Linked DNA regions of Nothobranchius furzeri. The protein of the gene in region 1 interacts with the protein of each later gene in a pairwise test. Links are inferred from orthologs where the notes say so. Each region holds a gene or a part of one and is shown on either strand. Other genes may lie near its edges.

Region 1 (4,546 bases):
GATCACATTCCTGGACACCCTACATAACACACTCATTCCACCAGACCAGGTAGATGGTCCAGAACAGCCCAGGTACGTTGTCATTCGGGACAACGCAAGTTTCCACCAGGCTGCTGTGGTTCGTAAATGGCTCACTGGCCACCCACGCTTTTTAGTTGTTTACCTCCCTCCATATTCTCCATTCCTCAATCCCATTGAGGAATTTTTTTCTGCATGGAGACGGAAGGTGTATGACCGACAGCCACAAACCCGTATACCTCTTCTCCAAGCTATGGAGGATGCATGTGGAGATATAGCAGCTGATTCTTTTCATGGCCGGAATCGCCATGCTAGGAGATATTTCCCCCGCTGCTTGGCCAGGGACAACATTGCTTGTGATGTGGATGAGGCGCTGTGGCCAGACCGCAACAGAAGAGAGGATGCAGCATAGATTTATTGTTTTACTGTAACTGTATACAGTAAATTTCTGTTGGATGTAGTTTATGTGTGCAACTTTGTGTTGGTTGGGAATGGGATAAACATTGTGTACAATGTTTTGTGGGAAAAATAAAATAATTTCTACCATGTATTTGTGTGTTCAGAGTGTAAAAACAATATTCTGAAATAACAACACATGCATGTGTTTACTGTCTGTAGTAGGTATAACACTGAACCAAAAAGGCTTTAGTCATTATGATGAATGGAGAGGACGTGTTTTCCATTCATCATAGTGTTTAACATTGAGCACATGAGTGTTCTGCTGGTTCTTATAAATGTCTGTTCACATGATGGTTTGTGTGTGTCATTTGACAACAAAATCACATTTTGAGGAGAAAGTACATTGTTTTGAATGTGTTTAATTTTGCAGGTTAAGTGAGGGGTTTTGCCCATTGTGTGTGGTTATTTTCTGGATTTGTGTGTAGAGTTCTGAAAATATGGGGCATGCTTTCAGAAAATGTGGGTAAACAATTGAGAAAAACTGTAACACAATAAACTTAGCAAATAAGGTATTGGGTCTACCTAAGAATTAATTGGTAAAGAATTCTCATACCTGCTGCTTACTGGTCTTGCCTTGTGGAAATAAAGTATAAAGACAGTTTGGTGGTTTAAAATGTTTGCATGTTTCCCATTTAGTTAATTATTGTTAATGTTATAATACTAGCACATTAATGTTTAAATTACTTTTCTTGACACTAAGAAACCTTTTTTTTTTGTAAAAAAAAATATCTCAATGACTATAATGTAGTTTAGGTTCAGCCTCTGTATATGAGATATATAATGGAGTTTTTATAAGCCATACATTTCTCTTACGCAATTGCTTATTTATTTATTTATTTATTTAATTTAACAATGTGCAAGTGTACATCAAATTACAAATTAAGTATACAATACAGTTGAATTAATTTATGTAAACATTCAGCCAGGGGGGTTAATTAAACAAATATATGCAAAGATCCACAAACGTCAATCGTTTAGTGAGCCTTTTTGTTAGTGTGAACTTTTACACAATTGTTTGTGTTGAACCGGAAGTCAGTCGGAAGACAAATGATGTAACACGTAGAAAGTTCCGGATTATTCAAAGGTCGAAATAAAACTGCGAGCGTGAGGCTTAGTGGATCAGTGTTGTGGCTGTTTTAATAAATTAATCATCTAAGTCTACCTTATAGTTTAAAATGCCCAGAGGAAGCAGAAGCAGGACTTCTAGGATGGCCCCTCCAGCCAGGTAGTAAAATATAATTTATTTAAAGTTGTAGAAACGTTGTGAATTAGCTATGTGAGCTAACAGAAATGCTAACGTCCAAGTGTCGTGTCAGGCTGAGACTGCTAGAAACTCAAATGTAATTTGGTGCTTTAAATAACATAATGATGGCATCTAGACTAGTTTTTACCGTTCTACATGTTAAGATAATGTTTTATTAAATGTCTTCGACCAAAGTAATGAAGGTCACATGTGATTTTGATGTCATTGTTGCTAAAAGGTTGAGTTTTTGAACCTTTCAAAACAGAAAATTGCGCAAAATTAAAACTAGTGAAAACATCTTATTATACCAAGCTCTAAGTATGTCGTACTTTAATACACTTTATTTGAGATGTGTTTCTACAGTGTTTAGAATATTTAATTTTCTCATTCTCTATAAATAGTAAAAGTAAATTACCTAAAACTTAAGTAGTTATCTCAGTCAGTCACTATCTCTAACTTATTTTTCCACCTTAGTTAAATTAATTATAATTTTGCCTTGTTACCCACATTTTGCTGGTTTTTGGTGGAAACAGGTTGTGGGCCTTTAGTTTTTACTCAAATAAAATGAAAACCTGCAGAACCCTGTTGTGCAACTTAAGAGCAGGTCTGTGTTCGATGACCCTAAATAACCCCAAGCCAGACTATTTAAACACTCCTAATTATTTAAGCTCTTATTCGCGTTCACAGTGTACTGTGATGGAGTCAGAATCTGCAATCACAACCTTTTATTTGATTAAACAGCTGGACATTTAAGGCCCATGTGGATTTCTGTGCAGTATTGAACACATTTTTGCCGTTAAAATTTAAGAGTAATGCAAATCCTAACTAGCTCGAGAAGAAAGATAGTATTTGCTTTGACATTTAAGTGGAACTTTTCTCTTTACAATAGGGCACCACCATCTCCTCCACCTATGGCCCGTGCTGCACCTCCACCTGCTTCATCCCATGCTCCAGTTCCAATGCAGGCCCCTCCGTCTGCCTTAGGAGCACCGGCTGCTGCACCCAGACAGCCAGGTTTGCTAGCACAGATGGCCACAACTGCTGCTGGTGTAGCAGTGGGCTCCGCAGTAGGACACACCCTCGGCCATGCCATGACTGGAGCCTTCAGTGGAGGAAACTCTGAGCCTGCCAAGCCTGATGTCACGTACCAGGTATACTGAGGTGTAGCTGACCATTAGACTGGAATAGAATCAGATCAGAGTGTGACAGGCCAAACAGTTAGGACATAGCTTCAAATAGTGTTGGTTATAGACAAAACATAGAATACTTGCTTTTTCTTGAAGATATTTAGATGTTTTATTTTTGTACATTATGAAAATATTTTAAATGTAAACATGAAGTTACCTGCCTGTCTGTCAGGAGCCGTATCAGCAGCAGCCTCAGCAGCTGCAGCAGCAGGCCTGCTCCTATGAAATGAAGCAGTTCCTTGAATGTGCCCAGAACCAGAGTGACCTGAAACTCTGTGAGGGATTCAGCGAGGTGCTCAAACAGTGCAGGTTTGCTAATGGTGAGTGTTTATATATATATTTAAAAAAAAAAACATATTTGACCTTTTCATATTTCTATCGTTAAGATTATTTTTGTTCCGTCTTCATCTTCTTGTTGCTGCCATTTCTATTGTGCTGTCAAATCACTTAAACACTTTGTAATTCACACTTCAAAGACCACTGGCTCATGCGATTGAACTGTTTTGTGCTCGGTTGTCTCCTCTGTCCTCTGTCCTGTGCTCTAGAAATCATCCTTAGCTGAAGATTTTACAGAATCGTATTTTATAAATGTGCTTTTAAAGGAAAGAGCTCTAAAAAAATGTCATGCTGTTGTTTCAGTTTTAATAAATCTTTTTGACATCTGAGATGTTAACGAGCATAACAAGTGAATTAGTCATTAACTGAATTAAAGTTAAATTTGATTGTTCATCCGTCAGAAATTGTCAATATTCTAATATTGATTTGTTTTTTTTTAAAATGAGGCTGCAAATTAATTGTTCTTCAGCCAATCGCCATAACGGCATGGACAGGGTTTGCTGTCCGCAGATTGGGACAAAGGCATGACTTTGCACTATTCTGGTGACGTGTTGCAGTACTTAATGTGACCAGGAGGAGGAGTAGTGTGCTTCTTTTTTTCTGTTACTCGTGGTATTCAATTCTGGGCCTAGATGGTCGATATCCAGCACATTTTAGTTTTAGCCCTGCATCAACACACCTGATTTCAATCAGCAGGTGATTAACTGACTTCTGCAGAGCCTGATGAGCTGCTGCACAGGTGATTCAACCACTGAATCAAGTGCGTTGGAGCAGAGAAACCTCTAAAACGAACTGGCCCTCCAGGCCTGGAATTGAATACCTCTACAATAAACTCAGTTTTTATATTCTCTTATTTCAGTAGCACAGCTATTTGTTCTTAAGGAAAAGAAAAAGTTTGTCTTATTGGACCTTTTTTTCCTCCAAAGGTCTACCTTGAGACGGAGACACTACTGCAGCATCAGTATCACTCCTCATCACATCGTTACTATCTGGGATCAGTCAATAAACATAATTTCTCTTATGATCATCAGCATTTATTTGTTAGGATTCTGCTGCAGTTTGTAACCATAGTCTTTATAAATACTGTTTATATATTTTGCTGTGTCATGTTTTCAGTTAATTCTAAATTTGACCATCCTTCTCATCAGCATAAATGTACCAAAAGCAAAATACTTAGTTTTAATCTTCTGGTTCAACATTTGCTTGTAACAAGAAGACAACTAATAAAGAACTTGGATCAGATTAACTCTGTGGTTTATTTCACTCCCACTGAAGGCAGAACACATTGAAGCATTTCTATTTT
Region 2 (4,410 bases), on another chromosome or scaffold:
TTTCTTTGTAAAAATGCTTCATTTTTAACATACATTTTTGTGTCAGCGTTTATATTTTATAGTTTTAAAATGCCATAATCATAAATCCGATGTGGATTATTCTGAAATCGTCTCTGCAGGGTTCTATGTAATTTTAAAGATGAAAAAAGAAAGAAATTATCATCAGATCATCCATTGCCCCACTAAAACAGATGTTTATACATCCGTCAATTATTCTAATTGAATTTCCATTTGCTGACAAGTTAAGAGCGTTTTTTTCTGGGTTTTTGCTGGACCTCGATTACAACCATCAGAGTAGTTTCATAGAAACTAAATCATTTGAGATTTGGAGAAAAAGCGTAGATTGTTCATAGAAGGCCACAAGCATGGATGGATAGACCTGACTTGAAGACTGACGCCTCATATCGGTAGAAATGTGTCCATTTTTAATCATCTTAATGTGTTTGAGTTTTATTTTTATTTTACTGAATCACACCAGAAACTCCACGCATGCATGCAAACGGGATTGTGAGAGCAGAATGGGCGGTAATACGATAAGATAACAAATAATCCACACAGAAAGCAGAAGAACGACGGTATAAGTCGGGATAAAAATCAAAACATGCACATTTCATGCACTTTCGGCGCAAAACAAAATATGTTTTGCACGTCGTTGTGACTTGATAAACAAAAAAACAAAAAAACGCACTTTTTAAGTGCGGTCACTCACTTGTGTGCAAGTTTGAGCTTGTTTTGAGTTATTTATGAAGCAATTATACGCAATAGCTGTTAACTTTTTTAAATAAGCGACTCTGTAATGCAGGTGTGTGTGTGTGTGTGTGTGTGTGTGTGTGTGTGTGTGTGTGTGTGTGTGTGTGTGTGTGTGTGTGTGTGTGTGTGTTCTGCGCATGAGGTAAATTGAAAGCGAAGATTGAGTTCATCTGGGTTGAACTCGCGGCCTCCAGAGGGAATACGTTCTCCGGGAGAGCAGCATCAGACGACGAGCTCTAAAATGAGCTCTGTCAGGAGGATTGCGTCCGGACTCCTATATCCCACCTGTCACTGCCGCTCGCGACAGGAAGTGCTCCTACAGGTGATCCAGGTTCCTGTGGCTTTGACTCAGACACGTGTCCAACAATATCCTCTCAATGCTGCTTCTTGTCGCTTCAGAGAGGAAGTATATTAACCATGGTGCCTGAAAATATTATTTTTAGAGAATTTTTGTTTTATTATGGCAGCTTTTCGTAGAATTTACACGTGCACTTTGTGTCTTTTAACTAAATAAACATCTTTCTGTCGCTACGTTTTTTTTATTTCACCTTTTATTTGCTAATAATTGTGAAAAGCACAGCTCCATTTTTGCATGCTCATTTTTCTGGCTTGGTGGACTCCAAGTCTTCCTGGCCCGCGGCCCCTCTGGAAGTCACTGCAGTGCCTTTTATGCTCTCATAAGCGAGGTTCCGCATCTCCGGAGACATTTTACATGTTGGGCTACTCTCTTCCTCTTCCTCTTCTCCTGTCTCCCTTTCTCATGTACACCTAAGACGCCTCCTCCGAAAGTGGGAGGGGGCATCTTCTTCCTGTCTCCTATTGGCCCCCGGTGCGCCTCTGCCGCGCTGACGTCAGGTCCCGCCGCCCCTGCAGCGCTGAATGGACCGAGCAGTCTGTCTGAGCTACTCCAAAAACAGCTCAGTACAGCGCGGAGCGGGACGGCACGGCGCGGACATCACCGTGAGACTAGACAGGGAGCTGGGATAGAGGTTTCACCGGACACTGGTTTGCAGAGCGGAAACGGGACTAAAACACCAGCAGCGTTTCCCCCCCGCACACTAGGCAGGACGGGGGAGTGCGCCCACCGTGTTGCGGGTGTATGTGCGTGCGCTTCGGATCACGATGATGCAAAGTGCGGCGGTCTTACCGACAGAGAGTCCTGTGAAGAGTTTACCGGAGATTCTCGGAGTGCCACTGCAACGTAAGACACTATTAAATCCCCTTTTTTCTGTCCTGCAAAGTGGGACCCGCGCAGAGAGAGGGGTTTAGTTACAGTGAGAGGATGAGGAGAGGAGACCTGAAGCCTTGCAGGCCAGTGATGTGTCATGCTGCTTAGGGTTCCAGCTGCAAAAGTAGGTATACGTTTTAGACGAGAGTCTTTCACGAGCATCCAGCATGTGTCTGCAGCCACCTGCAACCTGCAGCAGCAGAAAAGCTAGTTCTTTATTTCCTCTGATTTTGAAGTTTGATATATTAAAATGGGAGGGTTGATTCTTTGATTCGGCCTCAAACTTTGCCACACACACACACACACACACACACACACACACACACACACACACACACACACACACACACACACACACACACACACACACACACACACACACACACACACACACACTGAGGCTGTTAATTTGTAAACGAGGCTGCGTGGTCAAGAGATCAGACGCAGTTGTCATCATCGCCGTCAAAGGAACACACTTTGGCTTTGCCTGACACTCATTATTGGTCAAATTAAAAAGCTCCACAGTTTAATCTAATTTCAAGCTCTGACTCACAAACGGGTTATTACCAACACTTCATTATTATTAACATCATTATTATAAGAGTTAATCATGTTCTGCCTTTTAGCACAAACAGAAATGCTTTACATCTGTTGTTTTGTTGTGTAGCCCCCTTCATATAATCTCATGGAGTAAGATTGACGTGCAACTGGATCCGTTTCTGCTTTGACCTAATTATTTTTAATAGGCGAGTTAAAATGTACAGATGGAGAGGCTAATAGGCGACCAGCCCCGAAAATAATCCATGACAAAACGGGATGATGCTGAGTTTATTACCGCACTGCTGCTTCATGAGATTATTTACAAAACAACCCCAAGAACATTCGGTATTTTTAAATAGTCACAGATTTGCAACAATATTTAATATTTGATGAAAAACTGGACGCTTTAATTTATTTTGTGTGAATTTAGGTTTGTTGGGCATATTTAAACCCGAAGACAGTCTAAATGAGGTCGGCTTATGCTCTTTAATTTTATAAATCGAGACAGATTAAAAGATTGGTTAAAGATCCTGCCACTCAGCCTCCTGCGGCGCCAGGACCCAGTAAAACCTGGATTATTTTACCAGTGAGAGAAACTATCTGAGCATTTTATATCATGCACTGAAAGCTCAGCTGACTCAGGACTGCGACTGGATCCAAACCGTTAACAGCCCGATCTTAGTCTGGATTAACGAGTGTCCACTTCAGATTTTAAAAATCCATTGATTAATTAAAATGAGAGTTAAAGTGACGCACTTCCTGTGGGAACAGAAAAGAGAAACGTGGAAAGCTGCTTAGAAACGTTCTGGATCCACGAGGTCCTCTGCCTCTCGCGCGCTCGCGCACGCGCACTGAAGCTGGAGGATTTCCGTTGCCAAGAATCGTGCTGCTTTTATTTCAGCACCTCGTCTCAGCTCCATCCACCCACCACTCTGCTCCAGATGTTCCAGATGTTTACTCACATTTAAAGGCCGATTTTTAAATATTTTTAATTCAGTTTTGGATTAAACGGAGCCAACCCAGCACGTGCGTGTGCAGAAATACAGTTTTGCGTTTACTCTACATTATTAACGTTTTCATCCATACATCCATTTTCTGAACCCGCTAGGGTTGCGGGGGGAGCTGGTGCCTATCTCCAGCGGTCAATGGGCAATCAGGCGTGGTACACCCTGGACAGAGAGCCAGTATGTTAACGTTTTAAAAGTCAAATTCTACTGAAATGTGTAAATTACAAAATCTATCTGATATTATAAATTTCATTTTAGTTTACTCAATTAAATAATTATGAAAGGGGAGATGTATAAAATGCATACGCGGTCTGGTCTGCAGCGTTTTGTTTTTCAGGCTGGTGTCGAGGAGATGGGATTAAAACACCCAGGGCTTTATACGCTGATTTTAAAGTTGAGAGGTTTTCTCCAAAATAAACAGCTCTGCTGCGTGAGTTTAGGGCTGCAATCTTCTTCTCATATTGTTTATTTTTATACAACAAAACCTATATATTCTCACCTCAAATAATTTGTAATTAGTTGTTTATTTATTGTTTTTAAATATAAAACGAATAAGAAATGAGCCAGTTTATGTGGCTCGGGCATCTGGTCAGGACGCATCCTTAACGACTCCCTGGTGAGGTTTTCCGGCCATGCACGTCCAACTGAGAGGAGACCTAAAGGAAGACCCAAGACACGCTGGATAGATTATGTCTCTCGGCTGGCCAGGGAGCGCCTTGGGGTTTCCCCGGAAGAGCTGGCCCAAGTGGCTGGAAAGAGTCTCGGCCTCTCGCCTTACCCCCGCGACCCGACTCTAAGCGGCTGAAAATGGATGGATGGAAAACGAATAAGGAGAATCAAAATCAGTCATAGATAACTATTTAAGGAGAACAAAAACCAGCGATG

What was found.
Region 2: the proteins of chchd2 (region 1) and lhx4 interact in binary tests that used the Homo sapiens proteins (3 or more experiments, as listed by UniProt). The two-hybrid records come from large-scale screens. The link is inferred for Nothobranchius furzeri from reciprocal best matches to the Homo sapiens genes CHCHD2 and LHX4.

Annotation. Positions count from the first base shown.
Region 1 is NC_091753.1:38,185,535-38,190,080, reverse strand, and holds chchd2 (coiled-coil-helix-coiled-coil-helix domain-containing protein 2), read left to right. Parts: upstream 1-1,511; 5' UTR 1,512-1,652; coding exon 1,653-1,702; intron 1,703-2,609; coding exon 2,610-2,871; intron 2,872-3,079; coding exon 3,080-3,227; intron 3,228-4,169; coding exon 4,170-4,180; 3' UTR 4,181-4,485; downstream 4,486-4,546. Other genes in the region: insertion element IS630 uncharacterized 39 kDa protein-like, read left to right, coding at 1-430. UniProt on the Homo sapiens protein: Transcription factor. Binds to the oxygen responsive element of COX4I2 and activates its transcription under hypoxia conditions (4% oxygen), as well as normoxia conditions (20% oxygen).
Region 2 is NC_091748.1:57,321,954-57,326,363, forward strand, and holds the start of lhx4 (LIM/homeobox protein Lhx4), read left to right. Parts: upstream 1-1,471; 5' UTR 1,472-1,872; coding exon 1,873-1,951; intron 1,952-4,410. UniProt on the Homo sapiens protein: May play a critical role in the development of respiratory control mechanisms and in the normal growth and maturation of the lung. Binds preferentially to methylated DNA.